2 linked regions of the Stegostoma tigrinum genome follow. The protein of the gene in region 2 purifies or fractionates together with the protein of the main gene of each other region. This does not show direct contact. Links are inferred from orthologs where the notes say so. Each region holds a gene or a part of one and is shown on either strand. Other genes may lie near its edges. The genes, in order: FAST kinase domain-containing protein 5, mitochondrial; mitogen-activated protein kinase 4-like.

What was found.
Region 1: the proteins of mitogen-activated protein kinase 4-like (region 2) and FAST kinase domain-containing protein 5, mitochondrial purify together in Homo sapiens (affinity purification with mass spectrometry; 3 studies listed by BioGRID and IntAct, with this or other methods). This does not show direct contact. The link is inferred for Stegostoma tigrinum from reciprocal best matches to the Homo sapiens genes MAPK4 and FASTKD5.

Annotation. Positions count from the first base shown.
Region 1 is NC_081354.1:169,863,716-169,880,437, forward strand, and holds the start of FAST kinase domain-containing protein 5, mitochondrial, read left to right. Parts: upstream 1-8,922; 5' UTR 8,923-9,039; intron 9,040-16,722. UniProt on the Homo sapiens protein: Plays an important role in the processing of non-canonical mitochondrial mRNA precursors.
Region 2 is NC_081354.1:158,279,171-158,295,650, forward strand, and holds the start of mitogen-activated protein kinase 4-like, read right to left. Parts: upstream 9,063-16,480; 5' UTR 8,431-9,062; exon of another isoform or gene 7,983-8,430; intron 1-7,982. UniProt on the Homo sapiens protein: Atypical MAPK protein. Phosphorylates microtubule-associated protein 2 (MAP2) and MAPKAPK5.

The sequences.
Region 1 (16,722 bases), about 12 Mb from region 2:
TTTAATACTGCATTGGAGCATCAGGTGGGGCTTCAGATTCAAGTCTCTGAAATTACTTAGAGATCAGAATCTTCTTCTCACATGCAGAACTTTACAAGATGATTAATAGTTGATACTCCTTTACAAAGGAAAGATGGTGCAGGACGGTGGGTATAAGACTCCTAGAACACTGGTATCAAACTGGGGGCAGTTTGGGGCTTTTATAAGTCAGAAAATAGCATCTCAAAAGAGCTAGGACCAGTATAGTTTTACTTGTACTTTTGGCAACTATTTAAACTACTTAGTTCAATCAATCAGATCAATTTCTCAGGGGGATGAGAACCACAGTGTAGGAGAAAGGAGAAACAAGGTGTGTAAAGGATTTTCAGAGACGTGTAGTACTAGATTAAGAAATAGCAAGGTAGTCAGAAGTGTTAGAGTTAGTAGAAATAAGGCCTAAATTATATAGACAGTTTTTCTTTATTCATTCGTGGGATACGAGCATCACTGATAAGGCCAGCATTTACAGCCCATCCGTATTGCATTTGAGGTGGTGTCAATGAAGTGCTGTGGCCTGATCAGAAGATTCTGTCCGTTAAAGCTCCCAAGCCTGCTTCCCAGAGGGCTCTGGTGCAGCGGTAGTGTCCCTAACCCTGAATCATAGGGTCTGGGTTCAAGTCCCACCTGCTCCATTGGCACATCATAATATCTGAACAAGTTAATTTTTTTTCAAAGTTTCATTCCATAATGTTGTGAAGCATTAAAGGAAATTAGGTATGTATCTTGGACTACAAAATATTGACTGTAATTCTGGTTATTCGTAGTCTTACTATGGATGAGAGCTTCAACTGAGCAATATCAGACCTGTCATCTATTGTACACCTCGGCTGATATTTACTTCCATTTAAATCAATATTACTGTCACTTCTGAAGGGTCTCTGGATCCGAAACGTTAACTCTCTTTTCTCTCCACAGTCAAAACTGCTGAGCTTCTCCTGCAAGTCCAGTCTTTATTACTGTCACTGCGTCAGCTCTTTGAAATCACTAAAGTCCCTGTTGCCACATTTCTAGCTGTCCTGATAATCTCTTTTCGGTAATTATCACTTGTTTGTGACTGACGCTGTCCTTTATTTCATAGTTCTGCCTGGTGCCCCTATTTTCATTGCAGCTACAGCTTCAATAGCCTCATGGCTTATCTAGCTCTGGGTTCTTCTCAGAATCAGTGCTAGCTGGTAGTGCTATGATATGACTATGCTATCCATGCTGCACAATAATTTAAATGAGACTGTACTCATGTATCCATGGTGCCTTACATGACCTCAGGGCAACTCAAAAGTATTGACAGCCAATGATAAGCTTTTAAAGTGGAACCGCTTTGAACATATTCAATGATGAATTCACAATTCACTGATAAAGAATTCCTAAGATTGACAACCCTTTCAGTGAAGATTTTTTCCTCATCTCAGTATCAAATGATTAGTTCCTTAGCCTAAAACTGCATCCCCATATTCTAGATTCCAGAGTCAGGGCAAGAACCCCACCTTTGTAAATTTGAGAATATAGGGCTAATATCTAAGGTTTTGGAGTAGATCTGTAGCTCAGGTTGTGGGTGTTGAGGTTGGAGGCTCCACGAAGCAGGCTATTAATAAACACATTGAACTCGACCCCACATACATTCCACTATGGAGGAAACCCGGAAGTGAGGCAGTCCATCGCAACGGACACCAGAGTTTAAAAACCAGGTGGGAGAACACGCTGACGCTTCATCAGAAGTTGCACTGAGGATGCTACCCAGCACAGGAACAAAACGTCTGCCGAATAACAGACCAGTTCGGTGAGCCAACCAACCTCAATAGGCCTAATATACTCAACATTTCCTCATTGCTCAACCCTGTCATCCTTAGATCTTGAGTTCAAAACTGCACACAACACACAGATAACAAAGTGTGGAGCTGGATGAACACAGCAGGCCAAGCAGCATCTCAGCAGCACAAAAGCTGACGTTTCGGGCCTAGACCCTTCACAATGCACAGGTGTGGTGTCACTTTGTGTAGTACCGTACAGTTTTGGCAAGACTTCCCTTGGGATTTGCCTTCCTAATTGCTTGTTGTAACTACATGCTGACTCTCTGCAGTCACTGTACAAGTACACACAAGTTCCTTTGGACATCAACATTTAGAAATTTTGTGCTTTAAAAGAGTTCTGCTTTTCTAGTCTTTCGTCCAAAGTAAACAATCACACACTTCCCTACATTATACACTATCTGCCTCCATTTTGTACATTCACTGAATCTGCTGATGTCTCTTCAATTCCTTATCATTTACATTCTGCTGGCTTGATTCCAATCAAAACCTTCCATTCATTTTGCCCACTCAGCTCTCTCTTTTTCTTTGAACTTGCTTAAAAACTGTAATAACTTAGCGCTGTTGAAAGTTTATTGATGAGATTATCATCTCCCATCAAGGTGCGAATCAGACTGCAGATTGCTGAATTTAATACTGAACAATATTCCTCTGCCTTTCTGACCCTGCACCATTTCTGTATGGCCATTTCTTAGGTTGAGAATACCTTAGGTGTAAAAATCCACAAGCAACTCTCTGAGCTTGAGACTCCTATTGTAAGGACCACATGGAAGATGTATGGTGATTGGTAGAAGGATTAGAGGGAACCTTACGAAAAGCTTTTTCAATCAGACAGTTTTGGAATTCCATGCCTGGGTTGGTGGCTGGGGAAGAAACCCGCAATAGACTGGGATTATACTCATTGGAACTCAGAAGAATGAGGGGAGATCTTATAGAAATGTATAAGATTATGAAGGGAATAGATAAGGTGGAGGCAGGGAGGTTGTTTCCACGAGCAGGTAAAACTAGGACTAGAGAGCATCGCCTCAAAATAAAGGGAAGCAGATGTAGGACTGAGGTCAGGAGGAACTTCTTCACCCAAAGGGTTGTGAATCTGTGGAATTGCCTGCCCAGTGAAGCGGTTGAAGCTACCTCGCTGATGTTTTTAAGGCAAGGCCAGATAAATTTTTAAACAGTAAAGGAATTAAGGCTGATGGTGAGTGGGCGGGTAAGTGGAGCCGAGTCTCAAAAAGATCAGCCACGATCTTATTAAATGGCGGGGCAGACTCGAGGGGCCAGATGGCCTACTCCTGCTCCTAGTTCTTATCTTGTGTTAAATTATCTAAGAGGAACATTGATCTGCATGCAAAGCTGGTTAGATCACATGGAATAAAGGGAGAACTAGCCATTTGGATAAGAACTAGCTCAAAGGTAGATGACAGAGGGTGGTGAAGGAGGGTTGTTTTTCAGATTGAAGGCCTGCGACCAGCGATGTCCACAAGAATCAGTGCTCGGCCCACTCCTCTTCATTATTTATATAAATGATTTGGGTGTGAGCACTGGAGGTATGGTTAGTAAGTTCGCAGATGTCACCAAAATTGGCAGTGTTGTGGACAGCGAAGAAGATTCCCTCAGAGTACGACAGGAGCTTAATCAGATGGGCCAATAGGCTGAGGAGTGGCAGATGGGAGTATAACTCAGATAAATGTGAGGTGCTGCATTTTGGTAAGATAAATCAGGGCAGGACTTATATATTTATTGTGAAGGTCCTGGGGAGTGTTGCTGAACAAAGAGACCTTGAAGTGCGGGTTCATAGTTCTTTGAAAGGAGAATCTCAGGTAGATAGTATCGTGAAGAAGGTGTTTGGTAGGCTTGCTTTTATTGATCAGTGCATTGATTAAAGGACGTCATGTTGGAGCTGTACAGGACATGGGTTAGGACACTTTTGGAATTCTGCTTGAAATTCTGGTTTCCCTGCTACAGGAAGGACGCTGTGAAACTTGACAGGGTTCTGAAAAGTTCTGCAAGAATTTTACCAGGGGTGGAGCGTTTGAGCTACAGAGAGTGGCTGAGTAGACTAGGGCTATTTTACCTGTAGTGTTGGAGGCTGAGAGGTGACCTTTTCGAGGTTTATAAAATCATGATGGGCATGGATAAGGTGAATAGCCAAGATCTTTTCTCGAGATGGCAGAGTCCAAAACTAGAGGACATAGGTTTAAGGTGAAAGGGGAAAGATTTAAAAGGGACCAACGGGGCAACGTTTTCAAGCAGAAGGTGGTGCATGTATTCAATGAGCTGCCAGAGGAAGGGGTGGAGACTGGTACAATTACAAAATTTAAAAGGTATCTGGATGGCCACATGAATAGGAAGAGTTTAGAGGAATATAGGCCAAATGCAGGCAAGTAGGACTAGATTAATTTAGGATATCTGGTCCACATCGACGAGTTGGACCAAAAGGTCTGTTTCCTTGCTGTACATCTCTATTTGCTGTAATAAATAGACTGAACATTATATTTATGTTAAAAAGCAAAACATACAGTTATTGTTGAAAGAACAAAAGACATTTTTCCTCATCTCCTTTTCCCTTTCCCATCCTTGAAATTGGTATTTGGATCGCTCAGCGATTTTGTAGGCGCTCTCTTTGACCTGAGATAATGGGAACTGCAAAGCCTCTTCCAGGGATGCCTAACCTGAAGAAGTTACCCTCCTCCCTCCGGACCAACCTCAGGGAATCTCGCTCCCACTGCACATCCATGATCTCATCACCTCAGGTGACCTCCCACCCAAAGCCTCCAACCTCATTGTTCCCCAACACCCACCACCCGTTTCTATCTCCTTCCCAAAATCCACAAACCCACCTGCCCTGGTCGACCCATTGTCTCCGCCTGCTCCTGCTCCACTGAAGTCGTCTCCACCTATCTGGACTCCATTTTCTCCCCCTTGGTCCAGGAACTCCCTACCTATATCCATGACACTACCCACACCCTCCACCTCCTCCAAAACTTCCAATTCCCCTATCCCCAACACCTCATTTTCACCATGGACGTCCAGTCCCTATGCACCTGTATTCCGCATGCAGATGGCCTTAAGGCCTTCCGCTTCTTCCTGTCCAGCAGGCCAGACCAGTCCTCCTCCACCGACACCCTCATCCGCCTAGTCGAACACTCAACAACTTCTCTTTCAATTCCTCCCACTTCCTACAGACAAAGGGGTGGCCATGGGAACGCGCATGGGCCCAAGCTATGCCTGCCTCTGTGTAGGTTACGTGGAACAGTCCCTCTGCCGCACCTACATTGGCCCCAAACCCCATCTCTTCCTCCGTTACGTTGATGACTGTATCGGCGCCGCCTCTTGCTCCCAAGAGGAGCTCGAACAGTTCATCCACTTCAACACCTTCCACCCCAACCTCAAGTTCACCTGGGCCATCTCCAACACATCCCTCACCTTCCTGGACCTCTCAGTCTCCATCTCAGGCAACCAGATGGAAACTGATGAAGGGTCTAGGCCCGAAACGTCTGCTTTTGTGCTCCTGAGATGCTGCTTGGCCTGCTGTGTTCATCCAGCTTCACACTTTGTTATCTTAAGATGGAAACGGATGTCCACTTCAAGCCCGACTCCCACAGCTACCTAGAATACACCTCCTCCCACCCCGTCCCCTGCAAAAATTCCATACCCTATTCCCAATTCCTTCGCCTCCGCCGCATCTGCTCCCAGAATGAGGCATTCCACTCCCGTACATCCCAGATGTCCACGTTCTTCAAGGACTGCAACTTTCCCCCCGCAGTGGTCCAGAATGCCCTTGACAGTGTCTCCCGCATTTCCCGCAACACCTCCCTCACACCCCACCCCCGCCACAACCGCCCTAAAAGAATACCCCCTCGTCCTCACATACCACCCCACCAACCTCCTGTACAACGCGTCATCCTCTGACACTTCCGCCATCTACAATCCGACCCCACCACCCAAGACATTTTTCCATCCCCACCCGTCCTCCTTCCGGAGAGACCACTCTCTCCATGAGTCCCTTGTCCGCTCCACACTCCCCTCCAACCCCACCACACCTGGCACCTTCCCCTGCAACCGCAGGAAGTGCTACACTTGCCCCCACACCTCCTCTCTCACCCCCATCCCAGGCCCCAAGATGACTTTCCATATTAAGCACATGTTTACCTGCACATCTGCCAATGTGGTATACTGTATCCGCTGTGGCTTCCTCTATATTGGGGAAACCAAGCGGAGGCTTGGGGACCCCTTTGCAGAACACCTCCGCTCGGTTCGCAATAAACAACTGCACCTCCCAGTCGCAAACCATTTCCACTCCCCCTCCTATTCTTTAGATGACATGTCCATCATGGGCCTCCTGCAGTGCCACAATGATGCCATCTGAGGGTTGCAGAAACAGCAACTCACATTCCACTTGGGAACCCTGCAGCCCAATGATATCAATGTGGATAATAAAATGTGAGGCTGGATGAACACAGCAGGCCAAGCAGCATCTCAGGAGCACAAAAGCTGACGTTTCGGGCCTAGACCCTTCATCAGAGAGGGGGATGGGGAGAGGGAACTGGAATAAATAGGGAGAGAGGGGGAGGCGGACCGAAGATGGAGAGTAAAGAAGATAGGTGGAGAGGGTGTAGGTGGGGAGGTAGGGAGGGAATAGGTCAGTCCAGGGAAGACGGACAGGTCAAGGAGGTGGGATGAGGTTAGTAGGTAGCTGGGGGTGCGGCTTGGGGTGGGAGGAAGGGATGGGTGAGAGGAAGAACCGGTTAGGGAGGCAGAGACAGGTTGGACTGGTTTTGGGATGCAGTGGGTGGGGGGGAAGAGCTGGGCTGGTTGTGTGGTGCAGTGGGGGGAGGGGACGAATTGGGCTGGTTTAGGGATGCAGTAGGGGAAGGGGAGATTTTGAAACTGGTGAAGTCCACATTGACACCATCAGGCTGCAGGGTTCCCAAGCAGAATATGAGTTGCTGTTCCTGCAACCTTCGGGTGGCATCATTGTGGCACTGCAGGAGGCCCACTGCACCACACAACCAGCCCAGCTCTTCCCCCCCCACCCACTGCATCCCAAAACCAGTCCAACCTGTCTCTGCCTCCCTAACCGGTTCTTCCTCTCACCCATCCCTTCCTCCCACCCCAAGCCGCACCCCCAGCTACCTACTAACCTCATCCCACCTCCTTGACCTGTCCGTCTTCCCTGGACTGACCTATCCCCTCCCTACCTCCCCACCTACACCCTCTCCACCTATCTTCTTTACTCTCCATCTTCGGTCCGCCTCCCCCTCTCTCCCTATTTATTCCAGTTCCCTCCCCCCATCCCCCTCTCTGATGAAGGGTCTAGGCCCGAAACGTCAGCTTTTGTGCTCCTGAGATGCTGCTTGGCCTGCTGTGTTCATCCAGCCTCACATTTTATTATCCACATTGATATGAGTTGCTGTTCCTGCAACCTTCGGGTGGCATCATTGTGGCAGTTCCTGCACTGCCACAATGATGCCACCCGAAGGTTGCAGGAACAGCAACTCATATTCCGCCTGGGAACCCTGCAGCCATATGGTATCAATGTGGACTTCACCAGTTTCAAAATCTCCCCTTCCCCTACTGCATCCCTAAACAAGCCCAGTGCATCCCCTCCCCCCACTGCACCACACAACCAGCCCAGCTCTTCCCCCCCCCCACCCACTGCATCCCAAAACCAGTCCAACCTGTCTCTGCCTCCCTAACCGGTTCTTCCTCTCACCCATCCCTTCCTCCCACCCCAAGCCGCACCCCCAGCTACCTACTAACCTCATCCCACCTCCTTGACCTGTCCGTCTTCCCTGGACTGACCTATCCCCTCCCTACCTCCCCACCTACACCCTCTCCACCTATCTTCTTTACTCTCCATCTTCGGTCCGCCTCCCCCTCTCTCCCTATTTATTCCAGTTCCCTCCCCCCATCCCCCTCTCTGATGAAGGGTCTAGGCCCGAAACGTCAGCTTTTGTGCTCCTGAGATGCTGCTTGGCCTGCTGTGTTCATCCAGCCTCACATTTTATTATCTTGGAATCTCCAGCATCTGCAGTTCCCATTATCTCTGATATCAATGTGGACTTCACCAGCTTCAAAATCTCCCCTTCCCCCACCGCATCCCAAAACCAGCCCAGTTCATCCCCTCCCCCCACTGCACCACACAACCAGCCCAGCTCTTCCCCCCCACCCACTGCATCCCAAAACCAGTCCAACCTGTCTCTGCCTCCCCAACCGGTTCTTCCTCTCACCCATCCCTTCCTCCCACCCCAAGCCGCACTCCCAGCTACCTACTAACCTCATCCCACCTCCTTGACCTGTCCGTCTTCCCTGGACTGACCTATCCCCTCCCTACCTCCCCACCTACACTCTCTCCACCTATCTTCTTTACTCTCCATCTTCGGTCCGCCTCCCCCTCTCTCCCTATTTATTCCAGTTCCCTCTCCCCATCCCCCTCTCTGATGAAGGGTCTAGGCCCGAAACGTCAGCTTTTGTGCTCCTGAGACGCTGCTGGGCCTGCTGTGTTCATCCAGCCTCACGTTTTGTTATCTTTGACCTTGCGGCTCTTCCATTTGCCACATCCAGCCCTGGACATAGAGTGGGGCCCTTCAACGGGAGCTCAAGACAGGAGGAGCGGTCAGAGCCTCTCAAGGATGAGGGCCGAGAAGGCTGTATTAACCGAGTATGGATCCGGCCGGTGGATCCCGATCACTTGGTGCCCGCATCAGGATCTCTTCAGCAGAAAACGGCACCGAAAACGGAGATAGGAGCTCTGCGCATGTCCCACTGTGGCAGCCGTGCGCATGTGTAGAAGGTATTGTCGGATTGAGGCGTCCGCGCGCATGTGCGGAAAGCGCTGTCTGATTGGCCCAGTTGTGCGCATGTGCGGGAGGCGCAGGCTAATTGGATAGCCATGCATTTGCGCAGCGGGTGTAGTCTGCTCTGAGTATGGAGGGAGGCCTAGTGCAGTCATTAATAGGTGTGCTGGCCGACGTCTCCAGTTAATTACTCCAGAGCCGCACAGAATTCTCTCCCTGAAATATTTAACCATTTTGTTTTGCTTTCACCCATATTTTTTCAACTCATGATCATCCCTAGTCCTGCCTCGTCCACAACGCCAGGGGTATTGGCAGCAAACTCTCCTGATTAAGCCACCGCCTTGAAGGAGGTGGAGCCAGCCTTTCTGTTCCTAATCACCTGGCTGGATATTTAGGGGAAGGTAAGAACTGTATGACACACAGCATATTTGAATAGTGTATGAGTGACTAGCTGGTCAGATATCCAGTTCACCCAGAAACGTGCGGTTATACGGTATGTGGGTGATATGGATCAAGACAGAATTTGTGAATAATTCCAAGTTTCTGTTGAAAAGCTGTTGATGGAAATTGACAGCCACGTTCTTATGACAAGAGAGTTGCAGTGGGAGAGAGATTCCCTGAGATTGGTCCCAAGGGAGGAGGGTAACCTCTTCAGGTTAGTCATCCCTGGAAGAGGCTTCTCAGCTCAGGGAATCTGTCCCACTGCAACTCTCTTGTCCTACCTACTAACCTCATCCCACCTCCTTGACCTGTCCGTCCTCCCTGGACTGACCTGTCCCCTCACTACCTCCCCACCCATACTCTCCTCTCCACCTATCTTCTCCTCTATCTATCTTCGGTCCGCCTCCCCCCTTTCCCTATTTATTTCAGAATCCTCTCCCCATCCCCCTCTCTGATGAAGGGTCTAGGCCCGAAATATCAGCTTTTGTGCTCCTGAGATGCTGCCTGGCCTGCTGTGTTCATCCAGCTTCACACTTTGTTATCTTGCCTTCCTAACTGCTTGCTGCACCTGCCGTTCTGCTTTCATTGACTGATGTACAAGGGTGCCCAGATCTCTCTACATTCTCGCACTTCCCAATGTAGTATCATTTAATAATACGCTTAGTTTCTGTTTTACACATATGAGCATACAACTTCAAATTTAGCCACTGTGCTATATCTGCCTTATGTTTGCAGATCATGGAAACCTTACAGTATGGAAGCTGGCCATTCAGCCCATTGAATCCAAACCAACCCTCCAAAGAGCATCACATGCAAAGCTACCACTGCCCTAGTCCTGAACTCCTGCATTTCCCATGGCTGATCCACTTAGCATGCACATTCCTGTATGCTATAGGCAATTTAGCATGGCCAGTCCACCTAACGTGCACATCTTTGGTCTGTCGGAAGAAACTGGAGCACTGGCAGGAAACCCCCACAGACACAGGGAGAATGTGCAAACTGTACCGCAATTGGTGTACCGCAAGGTACTTGTTGGTGTTGGGTCCACTGCTGTTTGTCATTTTTATAAATGACCTGGATGAGGGTGTAGAAGGGTGTTAGTAAATTTGCAGACGACACTAAGGTCGGTGGAGTTGTGGATAGTGACGAAGGATGCTGTAGGTTGCAGAGAGACATAGATAAGCTGCAGAGCTGGGCTGAGAGGTGGCAAATGGAGTTTAATGCAGACAAGTGTGAGGTGATGCACCTCGGTAGGAGTAACCGGAAGGCGAAGTACTCGGCTAATGGTAAGATTCTTAGTAGTGTAGATGAGCAGAGAGATCTCGGTGTCCGTGTACACAGATACTTGAAAGTTGCCACCCAGGTTGACAGGGCTGTTAAGAAGGCATACAGTGTTTTAGCTTTTATTAATAGAGGGATCGAGTTCCGGAACCAAGAGGTTATGGTGAAGCTGTACAAAACTCTGGTGCAGCCGCACTTGGAGTATTGTGTACAGTTCTGGTCACCGCATTATAAGAAGGATGTGGAAGCTTTGGAAAGGGTGCAGAGGAGATTTACTAGGATGTTGCCTGGTATGGAGGGAAGGTCTTACGAGGAAAGGCTGAGGGACTTGAGGCTGTTTTCATTAGAGAGAAGAAGGTTGAGAGGTGACTTAATTGAAACATATAAAATAATCAGAGGGTTAGATAGGATGGATAGGGAGATCCTTTTTCCTAGGATGGTGACGGTGAACATGAGGGGGCATAGCTTTAAATTGAGGGGTGAAAGATATAGGACAGATGTCAGAGGTAGTTTCTTTACTCAGAGTAGTAAGGGAATGGAACGCTTTGCCTGCAACGGTAGTAGATTCGCCAACTTTAGGTACATTTAAGTCGTCATTGGATAAGCATATGGACGTACATGGAATAGTGTAGGTTAGATGGGCTTGAGATCGGTATGACACGTCGGCACAACATCGAGGGCTGAAGGGCCTTTTCTGTGCTGTAATGTTCTATGTAAATAGAACATAGAACATAGAACATAGAACAGTACAGCACAGAACAGGCGGAAGGTGGAATCTAACCTGGGTCCCTGGCTCTGTGAGGCAGCAGTGCTAACTCTGAGCCACCCACCCAATTTTTCCATGTCATCTTGAACATTCCTTGCATCTTCCTCACAAGCTTCAATCCTCCCAGTTTAGTGCCGTCAACAAACTTGAAAATATTGCATTTGATTCTGTCATCCAGGCCATTTATACATATTGTGAATAGCTGGGGTCTAAGCACTGATTCTTGTAGTATCCCACTCCTTGCCACTTGAGAATAGAACCATTTATTCCCACTCTGTTTCCTGTCTGTTAATGTATTAACCCCATCCCATGTTCTTTTTTGAAAGAAACAAAGAATGTAGATGCTGGAAAACAGAAACAAAATCAGAAATTGCTGGAAAAACCAAGCAGATCTGACAATATCTGTGGAGAGACTCTTCTTCAAAACTGGACCAAAACTTCATTGGACCCGAAACATCATTTTCTGCTTTCTTTCCACGTATCGGTTAGATCTGGGTTTTTCCAAGAATTTCTGATTTTTTTCCACGTTCTTTAATTTTGCTCACTAACTTGATTTGAACGGCCTTATCCAAAGCAATATGAAAATTCAAATACACCACATCCACTGATTTCTCCCTTATCTATTCTACTAGTTACATTCTCAAAAGCTCTGGTGGATTTGTTAAGAAAGATTTGCCCTTCATAAATCTTGCTGACTTTGGTCAATCCCGTTAGTCTTTTTAAATGTTCTGTTTTCATTTAGACTAACATTAGACTAACTGATCTTTTATTCTTTTTGTCCCCCCTCCTTTTTTAAATAATGGAGTTAAATTTGCCATCTTCCAAACTGTAGGAACTGATCCAGAGTTTATAGAATTTTGGAAGATCACCTCTAATACATCTAGTATTTCCTGGGTCACTTCCTTCAGTATTTTGGGATGTTGATTATGATGCCTTCAATGATTTGTCAGTCTTTAACCCCATTAATTTCCAAACACCATCTTCTCCCTAGTACTGATTTCCTTCAATTCCTCCTCCTCCTCACTGGATCCTTTGTCCCTAATATTTCTTGGAGGTTATTTGTGTCCTCTTCTGTGATGATAGAACCCAAGCACTGTATTTCTTCAATTCCACCATTTCTTTGTTTCCCCGTTATGATATCCTTGGCTTCTGACTGTAACGGAGCTATATTAGTTTTTTACTTCATATTTATAGAAACGCCTAGGGTCAGTTTCCATGTTCCCTGCAGTTTTACTTTCAAACTTCATCTTTTTCCCCCCATCATGATTGAACCTTTCACTGAATTCTGAAATGCTCCCAATCCTTAGGCTTGCTTTTGTATTTTTGCAAATTTTATGTCTCAACTCAGATCTAATAAAATAATAAGTAAGCTGTGGTTGAGCCACCTTTCTTCTGTTATTTTTGTGCCAGACAGAAATGAATATTTGTTATATTTCATACACACCTTCAAATATGAACCATTGCCTGTGTACCATCAACCTTGTCAGTAAGTTTCCTCAATCCATCTTTACTAATGCACATCTGCTACAGTAATCGTTCCTGAATCTGCATAAAAGGATGCTAGTTTCTGATTTGATAACTTTACTTGCCATCTTAATGAAGAATTCTACCTTATGATGGTTGTTCTTCCCCAAGGGACCCTGCATAATGTAATTTATTTGTTTTACAGTACCCAGTCTAGAATAACATGTTCTCTGGTTCCTCAATGATTTTCAGACCAATACATTCATGTATATACTCCAGGAAATCTTTGTCCACAATATCAATCAATACATAAATTAAAGTCATCCATGATTATATGATAGTGATTTATTGTTTACTTAAAATGCCGCCTCACCACCTTTACCTTCAGACTGTCTTCTCCTCAATTTGAATACCCTTCAATTTTCATTTCCCATCCTTCGTGTCCTGGAGCCATGGCTCTGTAGTTGCACCTATATCATAACTGCTTGTATGTATTCGTAATGCTTATTCCTCAACTTTTTGGTGAATTCTGTGTGCGTTAAGGCATCAAGGCTTTAGACTTGTCTTTTTAACCCTGTTTGTCTCCTTTCTAGTTTCTAACTACATATCTACTCTCTTATTAAAAAAAACTCCCAACATTGTGAGTTTACCCTTCCTATTCCTGGCTCCACCCATAATGCCTCACTGTAAAATCCCTCCGATGTGTCCTCCCTCAACGCAGCTATGATGTGATCCCTAATCAGCAATGCAACTCCCCCACCCCTTCTGTTTCCCTTTCAGTCCCATCTAAAACAGCAATATCCTGGAATGTTAAGCTGCCAGTCCTGCCCCTGCTTTAACTGTTTCTCTGAAATGGCGATGACATCACAATTCCATGCAGTAATCCATGCTCTTAGTTCATCCGTATTACCTGTCATACGTTTTGCCTTGAAGTAAATGCACTCCAGACCTCCAGTCCCTCTGAGCCCCACAACTTCCTGCTCTTACTCTGTGATACATATCTCAGTCTCTTCTTTGTCCGGAGTCCCTGCACTTACTAGCCTGTTGTTCCAGCTCCCACACCCCTGCCACACCAGTTTTAAACCCTCCTGAACATCTCTAGCAAATCTCCCACCCAGGATATTGGTACTAGCATTTAGTTGAGACTGAACCATGCTTGAAGTTCAGAGGTACTTTGGTGGACAGGTTGATTCTTTGAAATTGGAAATTTGTCACTGCTCTGAGAATGGTCAAATATACACTTTTTTCCATTGACTCTCCAGTGATACTAAATGAAGATTCAAATCTGAAAAGAAGGTTCAGAACTTTTAAAGTTTACCTGATGATCGAAGGATTTTCTCCCTATTTGTATTTACCAAGCCAAATGATAAATTCTGAGATCAACCTATTTTCAGAAAAACAATGTGAATGTCAAGCAAGAACCTGCCATAATACCCTTGTTGAACAAAATCCGTCACTGTGTGTCTTGAAAATTACAATTGCCCCAGCATCCAGATGCATTGCAATACTTTTCAAAATTATGATGTTTTGGATGTGAGTTTGCTCGCTGAGCTGGAAGGTTAGTTTTCAGACGTTTCGTCACCATTCTAGGTAACATCATCAGTGAGCCTCCGACGGAGCGCTGGTGCTATGTCCCGCTTTCTATTTATCTGGGTTGGTGATGTCATTTCCTGTTCTTTTTTCTCAGGGGATGGTAGAGCCAATCTACCCCTGAGAAAAAGAACAGGAAATGACATCACCAATGCAGGAAATGACATCACCAACCCAAGGAAACCTAACCAGATAAACAGAAAGCGGGACATAACACCAGCGCTGCTTCGGAGGCTCACTGATGATGTTACCTAGAATGGTGACGAAACGTCTGGAAACTAACCTTCCAGCTCAGCGAGCAAACTCACATCCAGAACCTGAACCTGAGCTACAAATCTTCTCAAAACTCGTTATTAAGTTTTGCCAGTCATCCAGCAGGGTGGTAGAAATGGTCACGTCGCTGGTCCAGCAACCCTGAACCCCAGCCAAATATTCTTGATGACCTGGGTTTGATTACCACCATAGCAGATGGTGATTCTGATTTCAATAAAAATTGAAATCAAAACTTAGCCGAATGGTAACCATTTAACCACTGTTGATTGTCATAAAAACAGCCCTTTAGGAAGGGAAATCTGCCGTTCATGGCCTGACTACATAAATCCCCAGATCCATGGCAATTTTAAATTCACTTATGGGACATGGCATTGCTGGCTGGCCAGCATTTATTGTCTGTCCTTATTTGCCTTTTGGAAGGTGCTGGTGAGCTGCCTTCTTGAACTGCTGCAGTCTGTATTCTGTAGATAGACCCACAATGACCTTAGGGAGGGAATTCCAGGATTTTGACTCAACAGTTAAGGACAAGATGTATTTCCAAGTCAGGATGCTGAGTGGCTTGGAGAAGAAATTGCAGGTGACAGTGTATCTATGTATCTGCTGCCCTTCTCCTAGAAGGAAGTGGTTGAGAATTTGGAAGGAGCAGCCTATGGATCGATGATGAATTTCTGCAGTGCATCTTGTAGATAATGCACACTACTGTTACTGAGCACCGGTGGTGGAAGGAGTGGATGCTTGTGGACGTCTGATGACTGCAAGTGCAGGACGTGCGTCCAATTTCAGGTCCTGTCAAACTGTATGTATTGGTTGGAGCAGCAGTTGAACACAGTAGGAGCGTGCAGGAGGCAGAATGCATTATAGACAGGAATTTTAAAGATATGGTCACACTCAAGGTTCAGGCAGTTAGATGGGTGACCATAAGAGGGGCAGAGAGACAGTGCAGGAGTCTCGTGTGACTATTCCCGTCTCTAAAAAGTAAACTGTTTCGGATAATGTTGGGGGGCATGGCCACAGCAGCAGCCAGAATAGGGGCACCGTCGTTCTCTCTGGTACTGCAAAGTGGGTGCCAAAGTGCAGAAGAGCAGTAGTAATAGAGGACCCTATAGTCAGGGGCACAGATAAGCATTTCTGTGGCTGGAAAAGAGACTTCAGGATGATTTTTTTGCTTCTCTGATACCAGGAACAAGAATGTCTCTGTCTCTGAGTGGGTGTGGGTCATTTTCAAAAGGGAGGATGAGCAGCCAGAGGATGTGGTACACATTAGTATGAACAGCATAGGCAGGAGGAGTGACAAGATCCTGCAAAGGGTATTTGGAGAATTAGGTAGTAAATTGAAAAGCAGGACCTTCAGGGTTGTAATCTTGGGATTTTGTCCTGTGTCACATGCCTGTGAGGACAGGAATAGGAACAGGAAGATAGTACAGCTGAATGTGCCAAACAGATGGTGTAGGAGGGAGGTCTTCAGGTATGTGGATCATTGAGAATCTTCCAGGGCAGGAGGGACATGTACAAGAAGGGTGAGTTATACCTAAACTGGAGGGTCACCAATATCCTGGAGGGGAGGTTTGTTAGTGTCACTTGAGAGAATTTATTACTGAGCTGATGCTGCTTGATAAAACTGTTGATGACACCTTCCACCACTGACTGATGATCAAGAGAAGACTAATGGAGCAGTGATTGGTCAATTTGGATTTGCCCTTTTTTTTAGTGTTAATGACAGACCTGGGCAACTTTCCATATTTCAGGTAGATGCCAATGTTATAAATGTGGTGGAAGATTTTTGTGGCAAGTTCTGAAGTACAAATCATCAATACTATTGCCAGAACGTTGTCAGGGCCCATAGCCTTTGCAGTACTCAGTGGCTCCAACCATTTCTTGATAACACATGGAATGAACTTCAGTGGCTGAAGACTCACATCTCTGATGCGGGGGCCCTGTGGAGGTGGTGGAGATGGATCTTCCATTTGAGCATTTCTGGCTGAAGATTTGTTAGTGTCGAGCTGGTCTGTCCCATCATCAAGGATAGGGATATTTGAGTCTTCACTCTTGATGGTTGACTCTTAACTACCCTGTGGACAATTAAGATGGGCAATAAATGCTGGCCTAGCCTGCAACATCTGCAGCACAATTGATTTTTTTTTAGAAAGTCTCTATACGAGGGTTCTGATTTACAAATGTCCAGTTTATGAACACGATCCTGTACAGGGTTGTGAAGTTAAAGATTCAGCTTATGAATATTTCCACCTAGATAGGACAGATTTTTACTTTA
Region 2 (16,480 bases):
TAGAAATTAGATTCATGCCACTAACTAAAACAAAATGTTGGAACTGTCTCAGTATTCCAAGAGGAATACTGGAACAACTCAATTTAATTAAAAGTTTAAGAGGAGTGGTATTTCTTTGGGTTTGAGTATCTGAAAAGGCTATTGCTGGGGAAAGGGTGGATTCAATGGAATGAATTATTCCCATTTTATGGAAAAATGCTTTTTGAGTAAGATTTATGACAGGTATTTGCCATGGCCCGTTTTGACATTTCTCACACAATCATACAGCCATAGAGTTATATGGCAGGGAGACAGACCGTTCAGTCTAACCAATCCATGCCAACCTTAATCCCAAATTAAACGAGTCCCACCTACCCGCACTTGGCCCATATCCCTCCAAACATTTCTTACTCATGTACTTATCTAAATATCATTCCAACGTTGTCAATGTACCTGCATCAACCACTTCCTCTAGAAGTTCATTCCACAGACGAGCTGCTCTCTGTAAAAAAATTACCCTTTTCTTCCTTCCACTCTTCAGCTAATTAATTAAACAACTGGTCCCTCTAGCACCAGTCGCATGAAATCATGTAGCAGGAGAGTTGGATGTGCTCACTTTGTAAGATTCTCATCATCACTGGCATCATATTTAAATTCAAGCTCTGCAGCACTTCAGACACTGTCACAAAGTGTGAGCAGCAGGCAGTCTGACTGTCCTGCCACATAATTTACTGAGACTGCCTTCACACTTGTGTGTATCCCCAACAATATGGCCCATAAAGGCAAGTTAGTTCCTTGTTCACCAACAGGGGCCTGCAGGACTTAGAGGACAGCATGATGAAAAACACGGCATTGCCTTTTCCTGTTGACTGGCAAAGAGGCTAAAGGATAGTGGCCCAGGTCAATGCAGCGATCAGAGCAAAGCTCAATGCACAGCAATACACGTAAAATATTAACGGTCTTCTATGCTCCTCAAGGGTAAATTCTACTATCCTTCCTCTGCTATATCATACTCGCAGGAACAACACTCACTTTAAGTGTGCTACTGCACACTCACCTCACAACTCCTGGACTCTTGCTACTACATGCTTCATGCTCACTCAATGGTTCTCATCCATCGCATCCTCCCAAACTACTAACTCTGCAGCTCTCTGTACTCCCTATTCACTCACTTCTCTTCTTCAAGCATCAATACTAATGCTCTCCGACCCACTTCCATCAGTCCGAAACCCTTCCCTGGTCTCACTGCAAGAACAGCTGGTCTAGCTGATCTGCTCCTTTACTGTTCAAAATGTACCAAACCATGAAAAGTTTCTTGCCTCTCCTTGGGCGCTCAAAAGTAATGCAAGCCACGCCCTCCAACAAGGTAAGGGAGTGTAAAAAAGTTAACTAAGAATTATACAGTGCTTTCTGAGTAGATGTATGAGATAGATGGGTGTCCTTGCAAGCAAAGTACATGACAGAAGAATGCAAGGCATAAGTATTAATAAGCTCCAAAGTGAAGACGGGAAGGGCTGGAGAGGTGTGTGACTTAGTGTAAAAGCAGTTGAGATGATGTGGTAACGCTAGTCATTTGGGATGGGCGGATGAAGAGTGGAAACAAGAGTGTCGATGATGGATGCAAAAGCATGGTAGCAAAGACAGAATTGTCCAAAGGCCCAGAGAGGCAAGCATCGGCCTCCTGCTGCTAGACCTCCTGAGTTTTTCCAATAATATCTTATTTTGTATGCATATATATGTGGCTTTTTTTTCATTTTTGTGGCATAAACTTGTGTCCTTGTATGAAAAGAACATTGACAGCCTGGTATGAATATGTTCGGTGATTCACCACTGTTGTAACCAAATGTAAACCTAATACACTATTCATAGAACATTGAACATAGAACATTACAGCACAGTACAGGCCCTTCAGCCCTCGATGTTGTGCCAACCTGTCATACCAATCTGAAGCCCATCTAACCCACACTATTCCATGTACGTCCATATGCTTGTCCAATGATGACTTAAATGTACTTAAAGTTGGCGAATCTACTACCATTGCAGGCAAAGCGTTCCATTCCCTTACTACTCTCTCAGTAAAGAAACTACCTTTGACATCTGTCCTATATCCTTCACCCCTCAATTTAAAGCTATGACTCCTCGTGCTCGCCGTCACCATCCTAGAAAAAAGGCTCTCCCTATCCACCCTATCTAACCCTCTGATTATTTTATATGTCTCAATTAAGTCACCTCTCAACCTTCTTCTCTCTCATGAAAACAGCCTCAAGTCCCTCAGCCTTTCCTCGTAAGACCTTCCCTCCATACCAGGCAACATTCTAGTAAATCTCCTCTGCACCCTTTCCAAAGCTTCCACATCCTTCTTATAATGCGGTGACCAGAACTGTACGCAATACTCCAAGTGCGGCCGCACCAGAGTTTTGTACAGCTGCAGCATAACCTCTTGGTTCTGGAACTCAATCCCTCTATTAATAAAAGCTAAAACACTGTATGCCTTCTTAACAGCCCTGTCAACCTGGGTGGCAACTTGCAAGGATCTGTGTACATGGACACCGAGATCTCTCTGCTCATCTACACTACTAAGAATCTTACCATTAGCCCAGTACTTTGCATTCCGGTTACTCCTACCAAAGTGCATCACCTCACACTTTTCCACATTAAACTCCATTTGCCACTTCTCAGCCCAGCTTTGCAGTTTATCTATGTCTCTCTGCAACCTACAGCATCCTTCATCACTATCCACAACTGCACCGACCTTAGTGTCGTCTGCAAATTTACTAACCTATCCTTCTACCCCCTCATCCAGGTCATTTATAAAAATGACAAACAGCAGTGGACCCAACACCGACCCTTGTGGTACACCACTAGTAACTGTTCTCCAGGATGAACATTTCCCATCAACCACCACCCTCTGTCTTCTTTCAGAAAGCCAATTTCTGATCCAAACTGCTATATCTCCCACAATCCCATTCCTCCGCATTTTGTACAATAGCCTACTGTGGGGAACCTTATCGAATGCCTTGCTAAAATCCATGTATACCACATCAACTGGTTTACTCTCATCTACCTGTTTGGTCACCTTCTCAAAGAACTCAATGAGGTTTGTGAGGCACGACCTACTCTTCACAAAACTGTGCTGACTATCCCTAATCAATTTATTCTTTTCTAGATTATTACAAATCCTATCTCTTATAACCTTTTCCAACAGTTTACCAACAAGTGAAGTAAGGCTCACTGGTCTATAATTAGCAGAGTTGTCTCTACTCCCCTTCTTGAACAGGGGAACCACATTTGCTATCCTCCAGTCATCTGGCACTATTCCTATAGACAATGACGAGTTAAAGATCAATGCCAAAGGCTCGGCAATCTCCTCCCTGGCTTCTCAGAGGATCCTAGGATAAATCCCATCCGGCCCAGGGGACTTATCTATCTTCACACTCTGTAGGATTTCTAATACCTCTTCCTTGTGAATCTCAATCCCACCTCGTCTCGTAGCCTGTATCTCAGTATTCTCCTCGACAACATTGTCGTTTTCTAGAGTGAATACTGTCGAAAAATATTCACTTAGTGCTTCCCCTATCTCCTCTGACTCCACACACAACTTCCCACGACTATCCTTGATTGGGCCTAATCTTACTTTCGTCATTCTTTTATTCCTTAAATACCTATAGAAAACCTTTGGGTTTACCCTGGTCCTATCCGCCAACAACTTCTCATGTCTCCTCCTGGCTCTTCTAAGCTCTCTCTTTAGGTCTTTCCTGGCTACCTTGTAATCCTCAAGCACCCTAACTGAGCCTTCACATCTCTTCCTAACATAAGCCTTCTTCTTCCTCTTGACCAGAGATTCCACTTCCTTCGTAAACCATGGCTCCCGCACTCTACAGCTTTCTCCCTGCCTGACAGGTACATACTTTTCTAGGGCACACAGGAGCTTTTCCTTGAATAAGCTCCACATTTCTAATGTGCCCATCCCCTGCAGTTTCCTTCCCCTGCAGTTTCCTTCCCCATCCTATGCTCCCTAAATCTTGCCTAATCTCATCGTAATTGCCTTTCCCCCAGCTATAACTCTTGCCCAGTGGTATACACCTATCCCTTTCCATCAGTAAAGTAAACATAACAGAACTGTGATTGCTATCACCAAAGTGCTCACCTGGCCAGGCTCATTACCCAGTACCAAATCTAATGTGGCTTCACCCCTTGTTGGCCTGTCTACATACTGTGTCAGGAAGCCCTCCTGCACACACTGGACAAAAACTGACCCATCTATAGTACTCGAACTATAGTGCTCCCAGTCAATATTTGGAAAGTTGAAGTCCCCCATGACAACTACCCTGTCTCTCTCACTCCTATCAAGAATCATCTTTGCTATCCTTTCTTCTACATATCTGGAACTATTCGGAGGCCTATAGAAAACTCCCAACAGGGTGGCCTCTCCTTTCCTGTTTCTAACCTTAGCCCATACTACCTCAGTTGATGAGTCCCCAAATATCCTTTCTGCAACTGTAATACTGTCCTTGACCAACAATGCCACACCTCCGCCCCTTTTACCATCTTCTCTGTTCTTATTGAAACATCTAAATCCCGGAACCTGAAACAACCATTCCTGTCCCTGCTCTATCCATGTCTCCGAAATGTCCACAGCATCGAAGTCCCACGTACTAACCCATGCTGCAAGTTCACCCACCTTATTCCGCATGCTCCTGGTGTTGAAGTAGACATACTTCAAACCAACTTCTTGCCAGGTTTCATTCTGGCATCTGATTTGCCCAGTATTACAGTTAGCTGGGATCATAACAATATGAAAATGGGGGGATAAACACGACTGGGAGACAGACATTGTTGGCAATGACCTCTGCATGCTGACTGCCTGAATGGGGATTGGAAGTTGTGAGGCGAAACAGAAAAGCACAATTGGATGAGAACTGAACCAAGAGAAAACATAGGTTAGCAATCCTGCACCTTCTCAGCCCATGTATTCATCTGCTAAATGTGGCAAAGACTGCCACACCGGCATAAGGCTCCTAAGCTACAGGAGGTAATGCTTAACACAGAGGGAACTATCAAGTTACGAAGCATCATTCCATGAAACTGAAGACTGACAAAGAAAGAAATTACATTTTGAGGTGCTGATCTCGGTGCATTTCGTGAATGTGGAAAGGAGAGGTAGGGTCGATTCCCATAAATAGGGAAAATAAATCAGAAAGCAAGACAATCCTGAGGTAAACTTAACTGTATTACAACATTCCATTCAAACACCAGACTACCAGACACCTATCTATAATGAATATTTCTAGCCCCTGTTGGAGTACTGAATAATGCTTTAAGTGAAGGACTACAAAATTTGTCATTGATCAAAACAATCAGCAGAACAGAAGAATAACACTGCCACCATCCTCATCGAATCCAGTTTTAAAAATAATCTGACAAGTCTTTGGGTTGTAATTCACAAATCCCATATTACTGCTGATCCTAAATCAGATAATCAGCAATTTTCTTTGTTCCACATCACGTGACATGCCTTTTATTTTCAACGCCATGTCAGGAAAAGGATCACCCCACACTGGTATGGCATTCAATTACAATGACAGTGTGTCTCAGTGAATTTGAGGATGTAATTCAATCATTGTGTTGTGATGGTAAACACACTATTCAAGGCTCACTTATGGATTTTAACTCTTATGAATAGTTCAACTCATTTACTTTGTTGAAAAACACTGATCATCAGTCACTTTCTGGTAAATAACAGTTTATCATGAGATAAACTCAAAATAATTGGGTCACAGTCATTAAACCTTTTATATTTTGTGTTCATCATACTTAGGTTCATTCATGGAAGTTGAACGCTTCCTGTTTCAGACATCCACTGTCTGAATCAATTAAGATTCAGTTCAGCTGCTACACAGTTAGCTGTAGACTAAAGCTCCCTATGTGAAGCCTTGATAATATGTTTTAGCCCTAATCAATTGAGCACTCCCGCCACAGCAGGGTGATATTTTTCCATGTCCTAACCAGCAATTGTGAAATTCACAATTTAATTTCAATTAACGACAAATGAGAAGTTCTGAATTGTGGATTTGAACTCAAATTCCTCAGGCAAACCACAAAATGCCACTGCATCAACCTGCAGTCAATGATTATTTCTCAAGGTGAGGAGCTCATTTAGCCTCAACTTCAAGAACTTTCCGACCCCTCCAACAAAATATCAAAATACTGTTCTCAACAGGTCCACAACAAATTACACGAACAATTCAATCTAGAGTTCAGATGTGTGACTTTAAGATGGGGTAACCATCACTGAATCCCCCACTATCAACATCCGGGGGGGTTACCATTGACCAGAAACTCAGCTGAGGTCACCATACAACTACAGTGGCTACAACAGCAAGTCAGAAACTAGAAATACTGTAGCGCGTAACTCAGCTCCTGACTCCACAAAGCCTGTCCACCATCTACAGGGCACAAATCAGGAATGTGATCAACACTCCCCACTTGCCTGGATTAGTGCAGTTTCACTCAATGAGCTCAATACAATCCAGGACAAAGCGGCCCACTTGATTGGCACCATATGCACAAGCATCCACTCCCTCCACCACCGAAGCTCAGTAGCAGCAGTGTGTGCTATCTACAAGATGCACTGCAGAACTTCACCAAATATTCTTCGACAGCATCTTCCAAACTCACAACCACTTCTATCTAGAAGGACAAGGGCAGCAGATACATGGCAAAACCACCACCTGCAAGTTTCCTTCCAAGCCACTCACCACCAATCCTCGTTTGGAAATATACTGCCGTTTCTCACAGTCACTAGGTTACAATTCTGGAATTCCTTCCCTAACAGTATTATGGGTCTACAGCAGTTCAGGAAGGCAGCTCACCATCACCTTCTCCTGGGCACTTGGGGGCAGTCAACAAATTCTGACCCAGCTAGTAACACCCATCTATACCAGAGAACAACGAGAAGATAAAGATATTTGTCAATGATGTGGCAAATGCAGCTAAATTAAGTTGATTTCAGTTACCTATGTTACATAGTAAGACTGGTACTCTATCACATGTTGGCTAATTTTTATACAAAGAATAACAGGAACATGAGAACAATTACAAAGCAAAAACTAATGAGAAGTCATGGTATTCTTAAAAGCCACTTTAGTTAACAGGAAGTAACTTTCAGAATACAGTACTATAACACCTGCTTTGCAAGGCTAGAAAAGGTAAGTGCAAAAACTGGTGCTCCCTGTACATCAAATCATCTCGATCTTCCAACCATACCTGTTCGTGCTCAACGCACAGTGATAAAGAAACTAACTTTATTTGTTAAAAACCGAAAGAACTGCGGATGCTGTATACCAGGAACAAAAGTTGCTGGAAAAGCTCAACAGGTCTGGCAGCATCTGTGAAGAAAAAAATCAGCGTTAACGTTTCGGGTCCAGTGGCCCTCTGAACTTTATTTGTTCTTCGCTTCACCAAAAGAAAGCAAGACGCAGCGGGTCATTGGAAAGATATGGAGTTAATGTTTCAGATCGATGAGTTTTCATCAGATCGATGAGCTTTCATCAGACCCATTCGAGGTTCATTCTTATGGTTTTTGATTCGGTAGTCACTGTGTTAAGGCTATTTCTCTCTCCGCAGAGGCTGTCAGTCCTGCTTTTCAACATCCAGCGCCACTCTCTACTGTATATCTCACTGACAAGAACCTGCATTGAATTACACTGAGTACGCAGCACAGAAACACGTCATTTTGCCAAACCAGTCTATATCAGTATTTATGCTCCACTCGATCCACTTTACATCATTCCTCGTCCAACCCCAGCAGCAGAGCGGTCTTATTCGCTTCTCCGTCATGCGCATAATTCTTGAAAGTGTCCACAAATGCAAATTTCACATTCTCTAGGAAAGGAAGTTTCTTCTCAATTTCCTATTTGATGTCTCACTGTTGTGGGTATGATGAGCTAGTCAGCATCCCAGCGTCAGGGAATCACCTAACGTTCAGTGAACGTAACTATTACCTTTCAGGGCAAGCTCTCTCCACCTCAGTTATGTCCTAATGTCCTTCAGTAAATTCCTTCATTAAGCACCTGCTTCCAGCTCCACTGTCTCCAACCTTCAGTCTCCTCCCCCTTAAAAAACAGGCAATCTTCCCGTACAGAAGAATATATTGTGTTGTCATGCTCCATTGTTCTAGATCTATTTGTTCACACATACAAAGTTAGTTCATAACGTACCATCCTGTACGTTACACGGAGATGGCTAGGTGTTGCAGGTTAACAGCAGTTTGAGATCAGCACCAGAGTAGATGACCAATTATGAAATGGCAGTAACCATGTCCCCTCAGCTATAACCGTACCTGCGAAACTTGCCAGCAAATGCAGCCGATTTGTTGACGAAATGTACTAACTGCCCAGGCAAAAGACCCACATACAAACGCATACACAAAGACTGCGGAACTTACGGCACCTGCATCGATCTATCTTCCAGTTTGCGTGATACACTCAAAAGCCGAGCAATTCCGTACAGACACAGGTACCAACCGGAACATGTTCAGTAATTAAGCGAAGACAAAGACTTAAGTGTGGAGCAAAGACACGTTCCACTCCATCCCTCCCATTAAGCAGGAGCGATCCTGTCGTTTCCTTTCCTGCTTCTAATGCATCTGTATTTTTTTAGCAAAATTGCATTACACAGCATATTCTGCAACCAACACACAGCGTCGCTCCTTGTCAACTGAAAAGGCTCCGGGAACATGTCTTTGAAGAAAGAACACGGCGAGATGTTGGTAATTCATTCTCCAGCGTGTAACAGGAAATGAAACTTACCATTAAAACAACGCCGTCGCTGTGGCGGCGCTGGATCTGCTGTGGATTTGGCATTTGCCAGGGCAGGAGGCGGCTCGCTGCCGAGCTAGAGACCGAGACTGGGTTTGTTTCCGAGCGGGGATCTGCCCGGTCTCAGTCCCCTTTCTCTGCAGGGGAGAAAAATGAAGCCGGCCCGAAACAGCGCCACGGCACGACGTCACCAGGCGCTGTCAATCACACTGCAGCTACCTGGTGGTTCACCCAGGAGCGAGCAGGCTGCATTTGTCGCCGGCATTTCTTGCTCCTGAGAAAAAGAAGACAGGAACCACCTGATGTGCAAAGGTCTATAGCATGACATCCATCGACAGGCAGGAGCAGACATAGCTGCAAATAAACGTAAAGTACTGCAGATGCTGGAGACCTGAAATAAAAGCAGAAAGCGCTGGAAAATCTCAGCAGGTCTGCAACCAACTATGGAGAGTTACTTTCTCTGCTGATGCACAATATATGTTTTGCCGCACTGAGCCACGGGGGGAAATGCAACAAAAATTGAGCGGTAAAGCAAAACCCAGTTCACCCACTCCATACCTCCCTCGCATTCTTGTTAAGGCTCGTAGCCAATTCTATATTTTAAAAGTTTGTCCTCTCTGCTTCAATAATTTTGACACAAAATTTTACACTCAAACCACCCTCTGCACATTCTCCCTCTAAAGTATGCTATAATTCTTTCCCTAATTGTTTCAAATTTGTGCCCCCTCCTTATCAAGTATTTGAGGCAGATGGACCTAGAGAGGTACCAGCTGAAGTACCTGGTAAGAACTCTTCCAGCGCCATATTTCATATGGTTCTGATCAACAACTGCTGGCAATGGATAATTGCAGGCTTGTGGCAAGGTGCTAAATGGACCCTATGCAGTTCAGTGTGGGGAAGTAAACTAACAAAAGAAGTCTCTTGTCACGGTTCAATGAGGTTATTCAATCAGTAGGCGAAACCGTCCAGACCAGAAAAAACATATTTTTAAAAAGTGATCCATCTGGCCATATCTTTCCACAGGTTGTCCTAGAAGATCACAACAATTTCCTTCCTACAAGGGCTCAGAATTCATCCTAGATCTGCCTTCAATTAATTCACCTAAGCATGGACACTAGTAATGCATTTTCCACAAAGTGTAATGAGAAAAAATCAGAAAATCACATCAGTGAATAAATGAAAAAAACTGAGAGATATTACTTGTTTTTAATGTCGAGATAATAATGCTATAATGGTATTTATTCTGACTTTTATCCCGCCGAAACATCTGTCACTTTTACCTGTTACCCCAGATTCACTCGTTGGCTCCTGCAAATGGATTTAGGTCTGGAATGTCTCTTTTTCTATCCAGTTATCTAGTAAGGAAATGGCGTGACCAAAGAACCATCAGGGAGAACATTTCCTCCACCCAAACATGGCTGAAGTATACTTTAATTTTTGTTCTTTCATGGTCTCATCATATTTGAATGTGAGGAACAGATGTATCATTGCTTACATTCTCCTACGGAGGGCTGACTCAATAAGTATGGTATGGAAACTGAGGTTTCAGACTTTGAATAACTGGTTATCTATAAAAAGGACATGAACAAACAGTTTTCACAATATGAACATCAATTCCCTAGACTTCTCAGTGTATGAAAACAACAAAGATGTAACTTACTTTCTTTTTAGGCATGGATCCTATGACAGAAGACCATTTACTACAGCTTGATTCTTTGAAGCTAACCTTACTCAGACTTAAAAAATATTGACTGTCTTTTTCCAATAACTGTCAAATCCATAATCCATATACTTCAGCCTGAAAGACACTGCACATGCCTTGAGATAATGAGTCCAGTTTTGCCATACAATTAAGCTGACCATGTTAGAAGCATCCAGATTTGAACCTATCCTTAGAAGAATGCATAGACAATATACTTGTCATAATTTAATTAAACCAGAATACCTGTTTGTTAAGATTGAATGAAAATAATCTCTACTGATGACCTAAAATGCTTGTCAGTGAATGTGCTCATTCCAGTTAATTCCCACTTGGGGGTTTCTCATTGTTCACAGCTTCATAACTTGCACAAGCAAACGACATCAGTGCCAACACGACTAAGACCTTCGCTTTGAAAAGCCTTAATTTATACAAAATTAACCCATTACCCACTAGTTCTGGCTGTAGTCAAATATTAAAAAGTAAAAACAGCAGGTTATTGGGGCGGAGGGTGGGGTCGTTATGACACAGTGGTAGTGTCCTCGCCTCTGAGTCAGGAGGCCTAGGTCCAAGTCCCACCTGCTCCAGTGATATGTAATGACATCCTGGAAAATGTTTTTAAAATATTTTAAATTAAAAACAGAGGAAAAGTCCATTTAGCTACAATGTCAAAATACTACTTTCAGAAAGAGATTTCGGAAAAACATAGGCAGTTTACACCACTTTGCTGGGTTTTCTGGTAAAGTAATGACACATGATTAAAGATGCCCTTTGGAAATTCAAGCCCCTAATTTACATTGCAAAGCAATAAGGCCATTTTGGAACATCTGGCCTAGTTCAAGAGTTCATGTAGTTCAGTATGTATATCTGTAATGCCTGAAAAAGAGACATAGACTGACATTTTCTTCTTACATATGATTAGCATGCAGTTGAAATGAATATTTGGTGGCTAGTATTTATGTGATTTTGAGGTTATAAAACTATAGTCTTCCTTCATTTGAACTTCAGTGGAATGGAAAGTTGTGAGGTGTATAATAGGTAATCAACTTCCGACTTCTGATGAAGTCTAATTTTACCTTGCATGTGTCTCCGCTAGTTTTTTTGACATGATAAATTGGTGAAGAAGGGTCTTGTGGTATAGTGATAGTGTCCTTACTCCTGAGCCAGGAGGCTTGGGTTCCTATACCTTCTTTTAATTCATTCATGGGATGAGAGCATTGCTGGTAGATTTTGTCCAGAAGGCAGTCAGGAGCCAGCCACTAGGCATGGATCTGTGGTCACAGGTAAAGACAGCAGTAACTTCACTCAACAGCACTAGTGAAGCAGATGGGGTTATCTGGCAATCAACAACAGTTCCATTGTCATCATTAGACTCTTAATTTCAGATTTGTATTGATTCAAATTCCACCATCTGCCAGGCCAGATTTGAAACCATGTCCTCAGACAATTACCTGGGTCTCAGGATTCATAGTCTAGCAATAATAACAGGAGGCCATTTCCTCTACGCATAGACAAGGTCTGATCAAATTTGGGCCACAAGCACTTTTAAAAAATCATTACGTTTTTGATTATCAGGGAAGACCACTATTGAAAAGCACTATTGAAATGTGGAGATTGTTGAAGGAATGCATACTGCATATGCTCGATATGTTTGTCCCTAGCAAGGAGGGAAGATGCGGTCGAGTGAGGGAGCCTTGGTTCTCAAGGGAGGTCGAACATCTGGTTAAGAGGAAGAAGGATGCTTATGTAAGGTTGAGGAAACAAGGAACAGAAAATGCTGTAGAGGGATACAAGTTATCCAGGATGGAGTTGGAGAAGGGCCTTAGGAGACCTATAAGGGGGAATGAGAAAACCTTGGCAGACAGGATCAAAGAAAACTCCAATACTTTTTACATGTGCATGAGGAGTAAGAGAATGACCAGAGAAAGGGTAGGGCTGACCAAGGATTGTAAAGGGAATTTGTGCACAAAGCCAAAAGTGATAGGAGAGGTCCTTAATGAATAGTTCTCATCGGCATTCACAACTGAGAGGGACCTAGTTGTAGAGGAGGACAGTGTGAAACAGGCTGGTAGGCTAGAGGAGGTCACTGTTAATAAGGAAGATGTACTAGGAATTTTGAGGAACTTGAAGATAGATAAGTCCCCTGGGCCTGATGGAACTTATCCAAGGATTCTACGGGAAGGGACAGAAGAAATTGCAGGGCCTTTAGCGATGATCTTTTCGTCCTCACTGTCCATGGGTATAGTGCTGGAAGACTGGAGAGAGGCAAACATCATTCCTTTGTCCAAAAAAGGGAATAAGGATAACCCTGGAAATTACAGGCCCGTAACTCTTATATCAGTGGTGGGAAAATTATTGGAAACGGCTCTGAGAGATAGGATTTATGATCACTTTAAAGGCACAGTTTGATTCGTGATAGTCAGCAAGGATTTGAGAGGGGTAGATCATGTCTCACAAACCTCGTTGAATTCTTTGAAGAGGTGACCAAACATGTGGATGAAAGTAGAGCAGTAAATGTGGTATACATGGATTTAAGTAAGGCTTTTGATAAAGCTCCCCATTTTAGGCTCATGCAGAAGGTAAGGAGCCATGGGATCGGGGGAAATGTGGTAGATTGGATTCAGAATTGGCTGACCCTTAGAAGACAAAGGGTGGTAGTGGACGGAAAATATTCAACATGATGCTCAGTTACGAGTGGCGTACCTCAAGGATCTGTACTGGGTCCTCTTCTATTTGTGATTTTTGTAAATTATTTGCATGAAGGAGTGGAAGAGTGGATTAGTAAGTTCACGGGCAGTACGGAGGTGGGTCAGGTTGTGAACAGTGCAGAGGGCAGTTCTAGGTTTCAAAGGGACATTGATAGGATGCAGAGCTGGGCTGAGAAGTGGCAGAAGGGGTTTAACCCTGGAAAGTGTGAAGTGATTCATTTTGGATGGAAAAAATTGAAAGCAGAATACAGGGCCAATGGAAAGATTCTTGGCAGTGTGGAGGAGCAGAGGGATCTTGGGGTTCATGTCCACAGTTCCCTGAAAGCTGTCACCCAGGTGGATAGAGTTGTTAAGAAGGCATACGGTGTGTTAGCTTTCATTATTAGAGGGATTGAGTTCAAGAGCCATGATGTTATGCTCCAGCTATACAAAAGCCTGGTTCAGCCACATCTGGAGTGTTGTGTCCAGTTCTGGTCGCCTCATTACAGGAAAGATGTGGAAGCATTGGAAAAGGTGCAGAGGAGATTTACCAGCATGTTGCCTGGAATGGAGGGAAGGTCTTACAAGGAAAGGTTGAGAGCACTAGGGATTTTCTCTATAGAACGATGAAGGATGAGAGATGACTTGACAGAGGTGTACAAAATGATCAGACGTATAGATAGAGTAGACAGTCAGAGACTTTTCCCTAAGGTGAAGGAAGCTTTTATGAGGGGGCATAGTTTTAAAGTGAGTGAAGGTAGATATAGGGGAGATATCAGAGGTAGATTCTTTACTCAGGGAATGGTAGGGACGTGGAATGCCTTGCCGGAACAGTTAGTGGAGTCAGCCTCATTTGGGACATTTAAGCGGCTATTAGATAGGCATATGGATGATAGTATAAGGTAGGGGTGGAGGTTAGATAGACCATAAGATTAGGGTAAACGCTTGGTACAACATCATGGGCCAAAGGGTCTGTACTGTGCTGAGCTGTTCTGTGTTCTATGATTCTGCTGCATGACACCAAGCAGCCCCATAGTAAAGCACAAGTTCGGTTCTGTCCCACTGCCAAAATTGTATATCTTTGGTGACATATTCAAATACCTTTTCAAGGACAGCTGGTTAGGCTACATGCAGACTTGGTTATCCTAAAATCAGTAGGTCCAGCATTGCCCAGCTGCTTCTTATCCTTGACAGAAGCTGTAGTCCTAATACATGTGCCTGCTCTGCTCCCATATCCTTACATTCTACTTTTTATCAACTATCTGCCTAGTTTTTTGATTTGACTTGATTTATTATTGTCAGATGTACTCAGATATAGTGAAAAGTATTGCTTTGTGTGTTATCCAGACAAATCATACCTTACATAAATGCTAGCTAGATGGATAAAAAAACTGGCTGGGCAACAGGAGACAGAGGATAGTATAGAAGGGAGTTTCTCAAATTGGAGACCTGTGACCAGTGGTGTTCCACGGGGATCTGTGCTGGAACCACTGTTGTTTGTGATATATGTAAATGATCTGGAGGAAGGTGTAAGTGGTCTGATCAGCAAGTTTGCTGATGACACTAAGATTGGTGGAGTAGCTGATAGTGAAGGGGACTGTCAGAGATTACAGCAGAATATAGATAGACTGGAGAGTTGGGCAGATAAATGGCAGATGGAGTTCAATCCGGGCAAATGCGAGGTGATGCATTTTGGAAGATCAAATTCAAGGGCGAACTATACAGTAAATAGAAAAGTCCTAGGGAAAATTGATGAACAGAGAGATCTGGGTGTTCAGGTCCATTGTTCGCTGAAGATGACAACGCAGGTCAATGAAGTGGTCAAAAAGGCATATGGCTTGCTTTCCTTCATTGGGCAGGGTATTGAGTACAAGAGTTGACAGGGCATGTTGTAGTTGTATAGGACTTTGTTTCGGCCACATTTGGAGTATTGTGTGCAGTTCTGGTCGCCATATTACCAAAAGGATGTGGATGCTTTGGAGAGGGTGCAGAGGAGGTTCACCAGGATGTTGCCTGGTATGGAGGGTGCTAACTATGAAGAGAGGTTGAGTAGCTTAGGATTATTTTCATTAGAAGGATCGAGATTGAGGGGGGGACCTGATTGAGGTCTACAAAATCCTGAGGGGTATAGACAGGGTGGATAGCAAAAAGCTTTTTCCCAGAGCGGGGAACTCAATTACTAGGGGTCATGAGTTCAAAGTGAGAGGAGTAAAGTTTAAGGGAGATATGCGTGGAAAGTTCTTTACACAGAGGGTGGTGGGTGCCTGGAACGCGTTGCCAGCAGAGGTGGTAGACACAGACACGTTAGCGTCATTTAAGATATATTTGGACAGGTACATGGATGGACAGGGAGCAAATGGACACAGACCGTTAGAAAATAGATGACAGGTTAGACAGAGGATCTTGATCAGCACAGACTTGGAGGGCCGAAGGGCCTGTTCCTGTGCTGTAGGTTTCTATGTTTCAATGGTTTCTATGTATCAGGGTAATAGAACAGATTGCAGAACATAGTGTTACAGCTAGAGAGAAGGATGCAGAGAAAGATCAACTTTAACATATGAGATGTTTGTCCATAAGTCTGACAACAGCGGGGGAAAAGCTGTTCTTATATCTGTTGGTACATGTTTTCAAACTTTTGTATGTTCTGCTCAATGGAAGACGGTGGAAGAGAGTATAGCTGGGGTGGGAAGGGTCTTTGATTTTGTCGGCTGCTTTCCCGAGGCAGTGGAAAGTGTAGACAGAGTCAATGGGAGAAAGGCTGGTTTTTGTGGTAGACTGGGCTGTGTTTACAACTTTTTATAATTTCTCACAGTCTTATGGATAGGATGCTTTCTATGGTGCATTAATAGAAATTGGTCAGAGTCATTGTGAACATGCTGAATGCCCTTAACCTTCTGAGGAAGTAGAGGCATCGGTGTTCTTTCTTTACTGTAGCATTGACGTGAATGACCAGGATAGGTTGTTGGTGATATTTACTCCAAGGAAATTGAAGCTCTTGACCATATCCACTTCAGTAACATTGGTACAGGCATAATAAATAAGTATAGATTTAGTCTTCACGTCAATCATTGCTTCTTTCTTCCATGTTCACCATGCTACACTGTGCAACAATACCTCCTGATTCAAAGTCAGCAGTCATAGCATTTTCCTACGGTTGGAATTGAAGTAGCAATTATCACTGCAAGATTCTTGAGACAAGATTTTAAGAAAACCACAGCTTGCATTGTTGACTTGGATAAGCTATACTTACAGCAGTGTGCAATGCACTGAGCTTTAGTCAATATAAAAGCAATATT